Linked DNA regions of Arabidopsis thaliana. The protein of the gene in region 1 purifies or fractionates together with the protein of each later gene. This does not show direct contact. Each region holds a gene or a part of one and is shown on either strand. Other genes may lie near its edges.

Evidence for each region. Proteins that work in one complex are often made in the same cells at the same time.
Region 2: the proteins of PREP2 (region 1) and AT3G62510 fractionate together in Arabidopsis thaliana (co-fractionation; one large-scale study listed by BioGRID). This does not show direct contact.

Annotation. Positions count from the first base shown.
Region 1 is NC_003070.9:18,368,998-18,377,419, reverse strand, and holds the start of PREP2 (presequence protease 2), read left to right. Parts: upstream 1-1,925; 5' UTR 1,926-2,083; coding exon 2,084-2,372; intron 2,373-2,659; coding exon 2,660-2,828; intron 2,829-3,122; coding exon 3,123-3,297; intron 3,298-3,385; coding exon 3,386-3,518; intron 3,519-3,535; exon of another isoform or gene 3,536-3,620; coding exon of another isoform or gene 3,621-3,636; coding exon 3,637-3,707; intron 3,708-4,078; coding exon 4,079-4,162; intron 4,163-4,293; coding exon 4,294-4,384; intron 4,385-4,500; coding exon 4,501-5,021; intron 5,022-5,101; coding exon 5,102-5,266; intron 5,267-5,339; coding exon 5,340-5,558; intron 5,559-5,636; coding exon 5,637-5,764; intron 5,765-6,436; coding exon 6,437-6,626; intron 6,627-7,209; coding exon 7,210-7,293; intron 7,294-7,372; coding exon 7,373-7,470; intron 7,471-7,629; coding exon 7,630-7,894; intron 7,895-7,999; coding exon 8,000-8,162; intron 8,163-8,263; coding exon 8,264-8,422. Other genes in the region: AT1G49650 (alpha/beta-Hydrolases superfamily protein), read left to right, coding at 1-57; AT1G49640 (alpha/beta-Hydrolases superfamily protein), read left to right, coding at 776-1,723. UniProt on the Arabidopsis thaliana protein: ATP-independent protease that degrades both mitochondrial and chloroplastic transit peptides after their cleavage. Also degrades other unstructured peptides. Specific for peptides in the range of 10 to 65 residues.
Region 2 is NC_003074.8:23,119,259-23,125,926, forward strand, and holds AT3G62510 (disulfide isomerase-like protein), read left to right. Parts: upstream 1-3,572; 5' UTR 3,573-3,594; exon of another isoform or gene 3,595-3,930; intron 3,931-4,077; 5' UTR 4,078-4,079; coding exon 4,080-4,202; intron 4,203-4,297; coding exon 4,298-4,516; 3' UTR 4,517-4,533; downstream 4,534-6,668. Other genes in the region: AT3G62499 (YTH family protein), read left to right, coding at 661-891; AT3G62500 (F-box protein RMF), read left to right, coding at 1,165-1,696, 1,903-2,019, 2,094-2,126, 2,239-2,409, 2,509-2,616, 2,714-2,783, 2,871-2,936, 3,022-3,108 and 1 more.

The DNA of each region.
Region 1 (8,422 bases):
AGTTCTGAAAATGCTCCCAGCTTCATGAAGAGATTTGTGGAGTTTATCACTGGTTAACATTGTTCTTTGTGTGACACGAATAAATTTTGATGTAACCTTTGAATTTGATTTGGTTCTCTATATAATTATGGTTAAGGAATTAAATACAGGAATGACTCGGTTGTGACTATATGAGATTTGTGGTCTAATATTTTATTTTATTTTTTGTTGCTGACAAATAGTAACACAATTTAGTTTCAAATACGTTTTATGCATATACATGTATCATAACAAACCTCAAATTGTCATTGAATTGGGTTCAAAGGAATAGATGTACAGTTTGACAAAAAAAAAAAGAAAAGGAATAGATGTACAATGTTATTGATCTAATTTGTGGCTATTAGTTATTACAGGCTCAGAATCAAGAAGGTAACGACTGGTGCATGCATATGTATACAAGTACTCACAAGATGGATTGAGGTCGGGTTATTGTCTGGATACATTTGTAATAAGAGTTTTTGGTTATACACCATCGGGTCCACCTCTAGTCTGATTAATATCCAAATATGGAAAGCAATATTGGTTAAGCAACTTGTGATTTTATCATTTTGCTAAAAATAACTAATGATTTGTTAGCAAAAGTAACTTATGATCATATCAAATTTAACCAAACCAGTTCATATCAAGCTGTGTACTTGTCAGGGTTTGATTGGATGAATCAGTGTATACTCATACATATAGTAAACTCACATACATATTACTCTGTTTCTGTTCTTCACTCTCTTTTCCAAAGAAGATGGAATCTGATCTAACCACAGAGCATCATCTACCATTCATCCGAATTCATAAGAACGGCCGAGTCGAGCGGCTTAGCGGCAACGACATCAAACCAACGTCTTTAAACCCACAAAACGATGTCGTTTCGAAAGACGTCATGTACTCATCGGACCACAACCTCTCCGTCCGTATGTTTCTCCCCAACAAATCTAGAAAACTCGACACCGCCGGTAACAAAATACCTCTACTCATCTACTTTCACGGCGGAGCTTACATCATACAATCTCCTTTCTCTCCGGTTTACCATAACTACCTCACGGAGGTTGTTATAACCGCTAACTGCCTAGCCGTGTCGGTTCAGTACCGTCTTGCGCCAGAGCATCCGGTTCCGGCGGCTTACGACGATTCATGGTCTGCGATTCAGTGGATCTTTTCTCATTCTGATGATTGGATTAATGAATACGCTGATTTCGACAGAGTTTTTATCGCCGGAGATAGTGCCGGAGCCAATATATCGCATCACATGGGAATAAGAGCTGGTAAGGAGAAGCTTAGCCCTACAATCAAAGGGATTGTTATGGTGCATCCAGGTTTTTGGGGGAAAGAACCGATCGACGAACACGATGTACAAGACGGAGAAGTCAGAAACAAGATCGCATATATTTGGGAAAATATCGTTAGCCCGAATAGTGTTGATGGAGTGAATGATCCGTGGTTTAATGTTGTTGGATCCGGATCGGATGTTTCCGAGATGGGATGTGAAAAGGTTTTGGTTGCGGTTGCCGGAAAAGATGTGTTTTGGCGGCAAGGATTGGCTTATGCGGCGAAGCTGGAGAAGAGTCAGTGGAAAGGAAGTGTTGAGGTGATTGAGGAAGAAGAGGAAGGACACTGCTTCCATCTCCATAACCATAATTCTCAAAATGCTTCGAAATTGATGCAGAAGTTTTTGGAGTTTATCATAAGTTGAATCTTGATGCTCAAGTATGGTATTAGATGACATAATCCTTTTATATAATCATATTGTTAACTTTAATAATAATTTATGATTTTAATCGTCAAATTTCGGAGAGTTGAACATACAAATAACTTATGATTTTAATCTCTAATTGCTGTGAATTTGTGTATCAAACTCCTGTATATTCGATAAATCATTCGTATAAGATTGTTCGGCCATATCAATAACCGGTTAGGTCCATACACATAGATTTCGAAATTTGCACCTCCGGTTTAAATTTTCGAACCGAACCGCTTTAAAACTCCTCGCGGTCGGATTAAACTATTCGCATCCTTAAGCACAGTCTTTGCCGGAGAAAATATTCCGGTAGCCATGCTCCGGTCATTAACTTGTTCCTCGACCATTACTTCGACCTCTCTCTTCTTCCGCTCTTTCCGCCAGCTCCCTCGCTCTTACTTGTCTCCCTCATCGTCAACGACCGTCGTCGGTGCCTCCGGCCGCAACATTCGCCGGCTTTCTACTCTAGAAGCTGCTGGGAGACGGCTATTTCTACGACGAGGCTTGAAACTACTCTCCGCCGCGAGTCGTGGTCTCAATGGACAGTTCTCTCGCTTATCTATTCGCGCCGTCGCTACACAATCCGCACCTTCTTCTTATCCCGGTGAGATAATCAAACTCTTTAGCTGGAATTGAATCTGTACTCTTTCTCTGTAAAATTTCAAATGTTTCTATTTTCCGAGTAGTTTCTAGATTCAGAGTGTTTCTCGTTGGTGAAATTTGTGTTTAGTTGATGTTACTTTACTCCACAAACACTCTCTTATAGAGAAATTTCCTTGGGCTTTTGATCAAATTGACACTATACCTGCGTTAGGATAAAATGGAACATTTTCTTCTCATATTTGATTTATGTTTTTGGTTAAATAGTGTTCTGATGAGAGTCAAATGTAGGTCAAGATGAGGCTGAGAAGCTTGGATTTGAGAAAGTCTCTGAAGAGTTTATCTCAGAGTGTAAATCTAAGGCTGTTCTCTTCAAACACAAGAAAACTGGTTGCGAGGTGATGTCTGTTTCTAACGATGATGAGAACAAGGTGTTTGGCATTGTTTTCAGGACTCCTCCGTAAGTGTGTTCTAGAACACATGAATCTGTCCTACTAGTTTATCTTTAGTATAGGTGACTTGGAAATTTATGTTCATCTCGGTGATTTCTTAACGGTTTGTAAGAAATTTGTGGTATATGAGGCTTCGTTCTTGGATTATAGTCGAGTGAGTGAAATTGTAGCATATCAAGGTCAAAAATTAGCCAATGTTGAATAGTTTTGCACTTTCAGTTGGAATAGGTACCACGAGCTAGCGAAAATTGTAAGTGGAAGTGGTTGACAGTGGTTTGATAAAAGTTTGGTTCTTGATGCAGGAAGGATTCCACTGGCATTCCTCACATACTGGAACATAGCGTATTATGTGGGTCAAGAAAGTACCCGATGAAAGAACCATTTGTCGAATTATTAAAGGGAAGTTTGCATACTTTCCTAAACGCATTCACATATCCTGATAGGACTTGTTACCCAGTTGCTTCCACAAATAAAAAGGTAATAATATATAAATACTCTTTTCTTCCCCAACCACTGTCATATATTCAAGTTTGGTCTGATCACATTTCATCACTATCTATGCTAGGATTTCTACAATCTTGTCGATGTATACTTGGACGCTGTATTCTTCCCCAAGTGTGTGGATGATGTTCACACTTTTCAGCAGGAGGGTTGGCATTATGAGCTTAACGATCCTTCAGAGGACATATCTTACAAAGGTTCTATTTATTACATATGCCTAGTTTAAAAGCTTGTTTGTTTTTATCTTTCCGTTTGTTGAACCTCTAATCTATTAACTTACTCTCCCTGTCTCTTTTTTGATGTTTCACATATCAGGCGTTGTTTTTAATGAGATGAAAGGTGTCTATTCACAGCCTGATAATATACTAGGGCGGGTTACTCAACAGGCAAGTTTTGATTGTTCCTTAATTTTCTTGAATTATTCGTCCACAATCTATTTCTAAGAATGAATTTCTGTAAATGTTTTGAGTGGATGTGCAGTGTCTAAAAATTTAGCTTTGTTAATTTTTGATGTTTTATAGCTTATCTGATTAAATGTGTGTGTGTGTGTGTGTGTGTATAGAGATATTTATCTTTGCATGTACGCGTCTGCATTTAATAGTTTGTTGGTTTCGTATTAATAATTGAAGTTTCTCACAAAACAATACTTCAACATCTGCTCCTGAAGTCTTTGTTAGATAATCTGCTTTCATTATTCTTTGGTACAGTGTGGTGCTTATGGAACACACTTGTTTTCTCTTCTATTTTCTTTTAATAGGCATTATGTCCAGAAAATACATACGGTGTTGACAGTGGAGGTGATCCAAAAGATATCCCCAAGCTTACGTTCGAGAAATTTAAGGTTTGTTAAGTACGTCATGTGATATAATTAAACGTTGAAATAATATGATATTATCTTGCGACAAAAGCGTAATACTCTGTATGTTATGATCTCCGATGCATATTTATTGTTCTTCATGTGAAAAATTCCAGGAGTTCCACCGTCAGTATTATCACCCTAGCAATGCCAGGATATGGTTCTATGGAGATGACGATCCAGTTCACCGCCTTCGCGTCTTGAGTGGTAAAGAGCCATATCTTAAATTGTACTTTCTGTTGGGGCATTTCCTTTTCTTGATCTATGTTCGCCATTATGTTATTGTTTTACAGATTTTGTCTCTATTTTACTAATTTGTGCAGAATACTTGGACATGTTTGATGCAAGTCCAGCTCGAGATAGTTCAAAGGTTGAACCACAAAAGCTTTTCTCTAGACCTCGTAGGATTGTTGAAAAATACCCTGCTGGTGAAGATGGTGACCTTAAGAAGAAGCATATGGTGTGCCTTAACTGGCTTCTCTCTGACAAGCCACTGGACTTACAAACTCAACTCGCACTTGGGTTTTTGGATCATCTAATGCTTGGGACTCCTGCCTCCCCATTGAGAAAAATCTTATTGGAAAGCGGTTTAGGAGAAGCTCTTGTTAATAGTGGGATGGAAGATGAACTTCTCCAGCCCCAATTCAGTATAGGTTTGAAAGGTGTTTCCGATGATAATGTCCAAAAAGTTGAAGAGTTGGTCATGAATACTCTGAGAAAGTTGGCAGATGAGGGGTTTGACACTGATGCTGTTGAAGCATCCATGAATACCATTGAGTTTTCTCTGAGAGAAAACAATACAGGGTCGTCCCCTCGTGGTTTATCACTTATGCTTCAATCAATTGTGAGTTTATCTGCCTTTTTCTTTGGTTTGTCTTATCTAATATATTTGTATAGTTTCTTATTTTAGTGTTGGATGTTTAGGCGAAATGGATATACGACATGGATCCTTTTGAGCCATTAAAGTATGAGGAACCATTGAAGTCCCTGAAAGCTAGAATAGCTGAGAAAGGATCCAAGTCTGTCTTTTCTCCGCTGATAGAGGAGTATATTTTGAACAACCCTCATTGTGTTACTATAGAGATGCAGGTATTTTTTGTCTCCGAGTTTCTCATTGCTGTCTAATGTTTCTATAATCTTATGCCCAAAACACGTTTGTCAGCCTGATCCAGAAAAAGCTTCTCTAGAGGAAGCGGAGGAGAAAAGTATTCTAGAAAAAGTTAAAGCAAGTATGACAGAAGAGGATCTTACAGAACTAGCGCGTGCCACAGAGGAGTTGAGATTGAAGCAAGAGACTCCTGACCCTCCTGACGCACTGAAATGCGTTCCAAGTTTAAATTTGAGTGACATTCCAAAAGAACCTATATATGTTCCCACTGAGGTGATGATTATATTAGCTCTCTGCTGTTGTTGGATTCCTTTTAATTTCTCAGCTTGATGCTGATATGGTGCTTTATAGGTTGGAGATATTAATGGCGTGAAGGTGTTGCGGAATGATCTCTTTACAAATAATATACTCTACACTGAAGTAGTCTTTGATATGGGCTCAGTAAAGCATGAGCTTCTTCAACTGATACCCCTCTTCTGGTAACTTGTTGACTTCTACATCTGATGATTTAACCGTAAGACTTTATATTCTGCTTTTGGTTATTCACCTAATTTTTCCAGAAATGCAAATGGTGAAAATATTTAATGAAGAATACTGCTACAAAAAAATTCCAAGCATTCCCTGTTCTCCTGATTGAATCTCTAACCAAATCACAATTTCGGATGTCTGACGTAGTTTTAAGCATTTAGAATAACATATAGCTTGGTTTTTGTCCGAGGGAGTGTCCATGTCTATTTTACTATTCTTGACTTTTACTTAAGTGTTCTCAACAACACTCAGTTGAAATGCTATGTCAAAAGGCAGCTTTCAAGCCTCCTGCTATAGTGTCATGATCTGTTATACTATTTCTTAGTTGCATTTTAGTTATAGCAGTATCAAGGTCGATTTCCAGTTACATACTCTTACTAACATTTGCTTCCAATTTCACTGTCAATTTTCTTAGTAGCTTCATTACACTTTTCTCTTGTCTCACACTAGACATTCGCATGCTATGTTCTTAATCTTCCGTAGATTTGACCAACGATTGTTTCCAGTTGGGGTTTATTACTGAGTATCCTATTCATAATCTTTTCCGTCAGTATAAGCCAGTGGGATACCCTATGCTAAATTCGTTTTAACTTTTAACTCCTATATAATTTCTGTTTTGACAGTCAATCATTACTAGAGATGGGCACGCAAGATTTGACTTTTGTACAACTTAATCAGTTAATTGGAAGAAAGACAGGAGGGATATCAGTTTATCCCCTTACATCCTCTGTGTATGGTAGGGATGATCCATGTAGCAAAATCATTGTGCGTGGAAAATCCATGGTTGGACGCGCTGAAGACCTTTTCAATTTGGTAATTTGCTTTAACTTATCACATTTAGCTGGAGATAACATACGTTGGGATAGTTAATTTAGAGTTTTCTAGCTGACAGATCAGGTTCTGCCTTGGTTCTCAAGATGTAGAGTGCAAGTTTAAACTTTTTGCCTCATGTCCTCTAACTATAGCCTTGTGGATAGCTCTTCTGTCCATCGGTTTATCAGAAAGCAAAACCTGTTTCTTTCATTTGTGTCTGCGTCTATGAAGTATCTCTTCTGTCTCCTGATCTCTTCCCTCTTAACGCAGAAATGCTCACTTTTTACCTCTCCCTATGCTCATGTCATTTGCTGAGCAGTATCTTATACTATATTTGTGTGTTCAAGTTAGAGTACAGAGGTACACTAGCCAATCGTTCGCTATTTGAAAACTGATTCTGTTAATTTTAGAGCTGAATTTTAGTATGAGCATATTCAAGAAATAATCCTAACTTTCGAGTTTAAAGTACAAAAAATGGAGACATAGAAATTAGCTGTAGTTTGAGATTCTTAAAATTCTAGTTAATTTCCTATAGAAGTTGTAGTTTGATTCTTATGTTTCATTCACTTTTGCCTTGCTGCAGATGAACTGTGTGCTGCAAGAGGTTCGATTTACCGATCAACAGCGGTTTAAACAATTCGTTTCTCAGAGTAGAGCACGAATGGAGGTATGCAGTTCCTTCTTCCTTTTGCATTCTTAATAGAAAACGGTGGTAGTAATATAACACCAACTCGTATTCATTTTAGAACCGATTGAGGGGAAGTGGTCAAGGAATTGCTGCTGCGAGGATGGATGCAATGTTGAACGTTGCTGGATGGATGTCTGAACAGATGGGTGGTCTCAGGTTGGAACTTGATCACTCTTTCTTTCATTGTTAGTTTTTACCATTTGTTTTGACCTCTTGATTTGATTGCATCTGTGGGAGAAGAAACTTAATTCATATTCTTAGTTTGATCTTATACTTATAGAGCCTAATAGAGTTTTGCTTTGATCTTTGTTGTAGTTACCTTGAATTTCTACACACTCTTGAACAGAAGGTGGATCAAGACTGGGAAGGAATTTCATCCTCACTTGAGGAAATCAGAAGATCTTTCCTTTCCAGGAATGGTTGCATAGTTAATATGACTGCTGATGGGAAGTCCCTCACAAACACGGAAAAATATGTTGGAAAATTTCTTGATTTACTCCCTGAAAATCCGTCTGGTGAACTCGTCACTTGGGATGCTCGACTTCCTTTGAGAAATGAAGCTATAGTAATACCAACCCAGGTAAATAAAATGAAAACCCTTCTATATATTTTGTGTCCTTTGGCGTGTATTTCTCTTCACCCGTCTTCTACTTACTCCACAATTCTATTCTTGCCTTTTTGACAGGTGAACTATGTGGGAAAAGCGGGAAATATATACAGCAGTGGCTACAAACTTGATGGGAGTTCATATGTTATATCAAAGCATATTAGTAACACATGGTTATGGGATCGTGTTCGTGTAAGTGGTGGTGCATATGGAGGTTCCTGTGATTTTGATTCACATTCGGGTAAACTGTTTTTCTTTTCCATTTTGATTTTGATCTGACAGAGTCTTCCCCAAGTTGCAAATTCTGCGTCAGACCTGACCTTTGGATTTTCTCTTGCACAGGAGTATTTTCGTTCTTATCTTACCGTGATCCCAACCTATTAAAGACTCTAGACATATATGATGGAACTGGGGATTTCTTACGTGGCCTCGATGTCGATGAAGACACCCTTACCAAAGCAATTATTGGGACAATTGGCGATGTCGATTCATACCAACTCC
Region 2 (6,668 bases), on another chromosome or scaffold:
AATATTAAAGTTATTTTTTATCGATGGTATTTTTGTAATTAATCTAAAAAGAAGGATTTTTTGGTTTATAATTTATTTTTCTTTCTTATTAACTTAAATAACAAATTTGTACGTACACATTCTTATTTTTTTGTTCATCCATATATATATTTTGAACTCACCCTTGTTTTTAAGTAATGTAAAATGGAGTTGAAAAAATGAATAACTGTTTATAAATTTTCATCTTAAATGATTTTTTTTTTTACTTTTCAAATTATACCTTTAGGAACCCAACCATTTGCACCCTAATATCATATGAATATTGACAACAAAGACTACATGAATTTAAAATTTTCAACTTGCAGAATTGTAAAGATGAGAATTTGCACTCGTTAATGACGTTCCTTTCTTTTTGAATCTTATTTTGTTAATTCTTTTTTTTCTATCTTTGATTTTTTGTATCTAAAAAATCTCTAAACGAAAACGTTGCATCTGATGTACCATAGTTTTTTCGAGTAAATTTTAAATTTTATTAAAAAAAAAATGAGAATTATTAGATAAACAAAGGTTCCGTGATATAAACCCAATTAATAAAAGAAACAACTTAGGCACAATATATAGCCTAAGAAGCTTTTTTAATTTTTTTTTTTAAAGAAGAAAAGAGAGAGAATTGTTCAATTGATGCGCGACGTCGGATTTGATGAAAAGGAAGTTTTCGACTTGGCGCCTACAACTACTTTTGTAGGCCTGAAAATTCACAGTCTTCCCTCATCAGAACACAATATCTTTCTCCTCCTCTTTTGTCTTCCTTCGCCGTCGATTTTAAGGTTTTATCTTCTCCGTAGTGAAAGCACTGATAATTTCTCCAAGGAATTTACGAGGAGGATTTGGTTTGTTTCTCCTGCGTGTTAGAGTTTTACGATTTCTCTGTCGTTTGATTTCTTAATTCTATCCTCTGAGAGAACGAGAATTTGGTTTTCGTTTTCGAATTTAGGGTTGAAGAAGCGGTTTCGCATTGGGTTTGTTGTCTATTGAGCCAATTTGCTAAAGGAATTGAAACGTTGCGAGTTTTTGTTTCCCGGAGGTCCGAAGTGCGAATCTGTTTTGTTTAATGAAATTAGGGGTTTGGAATCGGAATTTGAATAGTCGTTTATGTTGACTACGCGATAATAGCTGAGATAGGACATGATTTTGAAACGGATTTTGACGACATTCGATAATCTGAATCTGAAGCGGTGCAAAATTGATTTAGAAATTGAGTATGGTAGCCAAAAGGGTGAGATTATGGTGTATAAGAAGAGACAACGAGCAAGCGTTGATCAACCATGTAGCAGAGAACCCGGAGTTCTAACAAGTAGCTCAAGCTCCTTGACCAGTAGAGAAGAATCTCAACAAGTGTGCTCTGACCAGTCCAAGTCTTCGCGTGGCAGAGTTCGAGCGGTTCCTTCAAGGTTCAGGGACTCCATTGTTGGTACATGGAAATCCTTGAAGAGTCGCAAGGAAGAGTCGACGGAGACATGTATCTGGGGAAGCTCGAAATTGCATCGAAGCAAAGACCCGAAGCTGTTTCCACGTAAGGATAACGAAGACAGCAGCGAAGTAGATTGCGATTACTGGGATGCTAACTTTGGTATGCCGAAAAAGTCCGACGCCTCGCGTAAGGGCGTGTACAAACCAGAGGAATTTACAGTCGGCGATCTTGTCTGGGCCGGCTGTGGTACAAGCGCCTGATGGGGTCTTGAAACATTGCGTCCCTGGCGCAATACGTGTCATGTTTTTTGGGTACTCTAAATGGAAAAAAATTGTCAATTGTCAAAAAGTCGTGTTAAATATAGATGTATTGTACAGATCTTTGACTTTGAAGTACTTCATTTGCTGATCACAGCCTCATCTTTATCTGTTTTTTTTACACTGTAATTATAGATTGGATGCCGATTGGTGCCTTTGTGCTTGATTCTCGAACTTCACTCCTGACTGAGAGTTTGAGTGGTCGCCTGAAAGTCCCAAAGGAAGGAACCATAGAACGGATGTTACAAAAATGTCTTATTCATGATCTTCAGAAACTTTGTCAACTGCAGGAAAAACTGTAACATATGGCTTATCTCATTTTCCAGATTTACAGCTTGTGCGACCTGTTTGTGACCTCAGTACCTGTGAGGTAAAAGACACTAATCAACTCTAATCTGTTGCTGAAACTTTTGTATTGATCTCTTGCAATAACTAAATTGCAACTAAGAGTGTTTCTGTTTTACTATGTAGGAACAATGCAAACTCTTGATGCTAGGCACATTGAACTCTTCCTTAGTGAAGGCTACAAAGATGGAAGCTGGGACTACAATCTGATTGGATCTCATAAGTTGCAGAAAAACGCAAGTGCAGCTTGTGGAGCCATATTTGACCTCAAACACCATAAAGAATCTTCATCCTCAGGTAACTTCAAATCTTCATTACTGTTATGTTCCTTTACTTCTCCTCTTTGAATCATTCTCCTTTGTCTCATACAAATTTCACATGAAACCTCTATAATAGGTATTCTCAACCTCAAGTCTTGGACCGGACAGCCAGATATTTCCCAACCTAAAGCAGTTATCGCACCCCATGCAGTTGCTGTTCACACAAGATTGCGAGAAAACGAAGGTATATAACTTTGCATCATCAACCATCTTTATCTAGAAAACACAATTACAAATAATTCTCTTGCCAAAAGGAATTGAATCCAAATTTGTTGTTTCAGTTGCGGAAATCCAATCAGTATTGTGGCATTTGCAAGAGAGTATGGCAGCCCTTCAAATGATGGAGATTGGGTGAGAATATATGTGACCATGTTTGGTGAAATACAGACCTGTAAGAAATGATTACATCTATTTAGCTGACTTGATTTGATGTATTAGGTTTATTGTGATGAGTGTGATGTATGGCCGTATGGGTGCGACAATAATTTATATAAGCGCTTTAAGGTACACCTTCATGCATCTTAACTTTTGATTCTAAGTAATGAACACGCTTGTTGAACTATCACACTAATTTGGTTATCATCTTAAGGAACTGGAGCACAACAGTTACTATTGCCCTAACTGTAAAGTCCAGCATGAGCTTATCAATATTAGAAGAACAGAACTCAGTGTTCAAGTATATTGTTAACTTCTCATGTTCTCCTGATTTTATTGTTTGCATTTCTCCATTGCTATAATATGCGAGATTTCCTCACAACCTCTTTGGGATTGGTCTACAGAAAAGGCGACACAGACTGAGCTGCCTGATGAGATTAATGTAGTCTGTAATGGCATGGAAGGAACATATATCAGAGCATTTCATGCGTACGTATTAGATGTCTCAGCCTTATTTCAATTTCTTCATTTAGAAAGGATCTTATTTGTTTATGAATTATGACTATGCAGCACAATATCGTAAATTGATTTTTTCTCTGAAAACGATAAAAAATCCGTGTTTAATCCTAGGTTTCTGTTATCATTGTCTTGTTGTTTTAGAGATTTGACCAACACATTAATCTTTGAACTATTGTTTCAGAATTGAGTGCAAGTGTGGTTCATGTGGGTCAAGGAAGCAGTCACCAAGTGAATGGGAACGGCATACAGGCTGTAGATACTAGATAGCGTAAGAGTGAAAGACACAATGCTACCTCTAGAAAAATGGCTTTGCATGAAGACTTTGATACTATATGTATCTGTATATGTAGAAGAGTATCAGTTTTATCTAAATGACTAGTCTCCAAATTTGTGGTTTATTGATTTCGTCAGAATGGTAGGCTCTTTAACTGATTTAAGGTGAAAACTACATTGGTCTTTGTTCAGTGTTAGATTTGTCTTTTGTGGGTTTGGAATGGATTAAAGAGGAGTCTTTTACTGGATTTTGTTGAATGCTAGATTTGGGTTTAGTAAACAATGAATCCTTTACTGGTTTTGAAGGATGTTATATTTGAAACTGATTAGAGCTAAACCCTCTATTGCTTAGTGGTTCTTAATTTAAGGGTTTTGCCGCAGCTTCCCTAATTTAAGCTTGTTTTCTAATACAAAGTACAAAAGCAGTGTGTTCGTCAACTATCTTCTTACTCTGTTTTCGTTTAGAGAGTTTTTGCAGAGATGAGGAGAACTATAACAATGGTGATAAAGATGTCAATACTTATGATATTGATTTCATCAATGGTGATGAATATGGTCGAGGTTGAGGTTGACCAGATTGAATCATGGGTCAAGGACTTCCAGGTTTCATTCTCTTTTTCACACATTCACACAAGCTTTATGTAAAAGAAGTATATATGAAATCAATATAACCTAACCAAAGAAAATGTTTTCTCTAGGATGGAAAAGCTGCTGTCCACAAAAATTCTCAACCTATTCCAGCTGAGAACAACGAACCAGTGAAGCTTGTTGTCGCCGAGAGCCTTGACGACATAGTTCAGGTCAGCGAGCGGAAACGTTGTAGTATACGAAGGAGACAGGACAAAGGAAGACTTCATAGTTCAGGGTTGGTGATACTAGCAGAAGATGATGAGGAAGAACACGAAAAGATGGATTAGTTAAAGCTTCCAAAAACTGAATCAAAACAATCATTATTACATTAGTTTGTGGTTGTGGATTAGCAATGTTTAAGTAGTTTGATCTATCAATCTCCTGAATTTCTAGATTGCAGATATTTTATCTCATTTTGCTGTCTCACTTGATTCGTGGGTTATATTGCTTAATTTGATTTAAACTCTGTTTTGTGTGGTTACATAGGACTCTGTTTCGCCTGTGTATAGGAAGAGAGTAATGACGTTGAGTGTACAGAGTTGGAGAAGGGTTTCGAGAAAAAATTGTAATTCTTGAATTCGTCTCAGCTTGAGAATAGTGAGTCCATGGACTTTTACCGGATATGAGTTGTACAATGCAGAGACTGATCCCGAACTGAAAGCTGTTATGAGAGGACATGGGAAAAGCCATTGGCTTCGTTTGACCGGAAAGAATTTATGAGTAGTAAGTAGCATATCTAAAGTAAACGCCATGCAAACAAAGAAAACAATGATGAAGATATAAGAGCATCCACATTGGTGGGCTTTTAGCAAATGTTCTTAACAATAATTTTATAATTTATTTTGAAGTTAAGAGTTTTGATAAGAGTTTTTTTTTTTTAAGAGTGTATTTTGTCTCTTATATAAGAGCAAAATCTTAGGCCTGGGCATTTTAACCGAACCGAACCGAACCGACCCGACTCAACCGAACTCAAACCGATCCAAACCAAACCCAATCTAAGACTCAAACAATTCGGTTGTATTTTATCTCAACCCAAATGGGTCGGTTCGGTTCGGTTTTGAACCAAACCGAACCGACAACCCAATGTCTTTATATACTTAATTAATTAATTCTATAAATAATATTACAAATAACTCTAAATATTTATTTATCTCTAACTAAAACTCTAACCCTAAAAAGTAAAAACCTAAGGTTTACTTCTAACTTCGTTTCATTTGTTCTTCCGTCGTCTCTCTCTACTCTCTACAGCCACGGTATGATTTTTAACTACTCTCTAGCAATACAATTACGCTCATCTCAATTTTAGTTAAATATTATGAGTATATGATGATTTTTTCAATCTGTACGTACACCGCAAAGTCATGGAAAAGAAAAATCTGTGTTTGCGTTGTCTTGTTTCTTCTATTTACTTAGATTTTTTAATTTTTAAGAATAGGTTTCATGTAGGTTGGGTGATTTTGTTTGTTTACAATATATATAATATATTTTAGCATTCATACCAATAATCAATGGATTTTCGTGCAAGAAAACAGATCATACATGTTTATTTAGTTTACTAATAATGAAAGATGTTTTAATAGAAACGTAATTGTATTCTTTCAATTGACTAACAATTTTATACATGTTTTGTTTGTAGATGTCTAAAAGAAACACGACTAGCAATAAAAGAAAAGAACCCGAGTCTCCAACAGTGTCGCCAAAGGCAAAAAGAAAACTACCTACAAGATCAACAGCATGGAAAGTCTTTACGAGGTTGAAAGATGATGATAATAGTTGCTCATGCAATTATTGTGGTAAAATCTATTCATGTAATCCTGCTACATGTGGAACCAGCAATATGAACACACACATGAGAAAGTGCAAAGCTTATTTGGATCATCTTGAATCTAATTCTCAGAATGTCATAGTCTCTAGTGGTGGTGGTAATGGTGCTGGCATGATAAAACCTTTTGATCAAAACGTGTGTAGGCAAGCAACGGTGAAAATGATTATCATGGACGAGTTGTCGTTTTCTTTTGTGGAGAATGATGGGTTTAAACATTTTTGTGAGATGGCTGTCCCTTGGTTTACTATTCCATCGCGAAGAACAATTACTAGGGATGTTGTTGGTCTGTACAGAGCTGAAAAAACTGCATTGAAGACTATTTTAAGTCGTAATAGGCAGGCCATGTCGTTTACCACTGACATATGGACTTCTATTACGACATTGAGTTATATGGTCGTTACTGCTCATTTTATTGACATGGATTGGCAATTGCATAGAAGAATTATTAGTTTTAGTCCTATTCCTGATCATAAGGGAAAGACCATCGCCAATCAGTTTTTAAGATCTTTGGATGATTGGGGTATTGAGAAAGTATTTTCTATCACTGTGGATAACGCAAGCGCCAATGATAAAGCTAATACTGTTTTGAAAGAGAGGCTAAGTAACAGAAATAG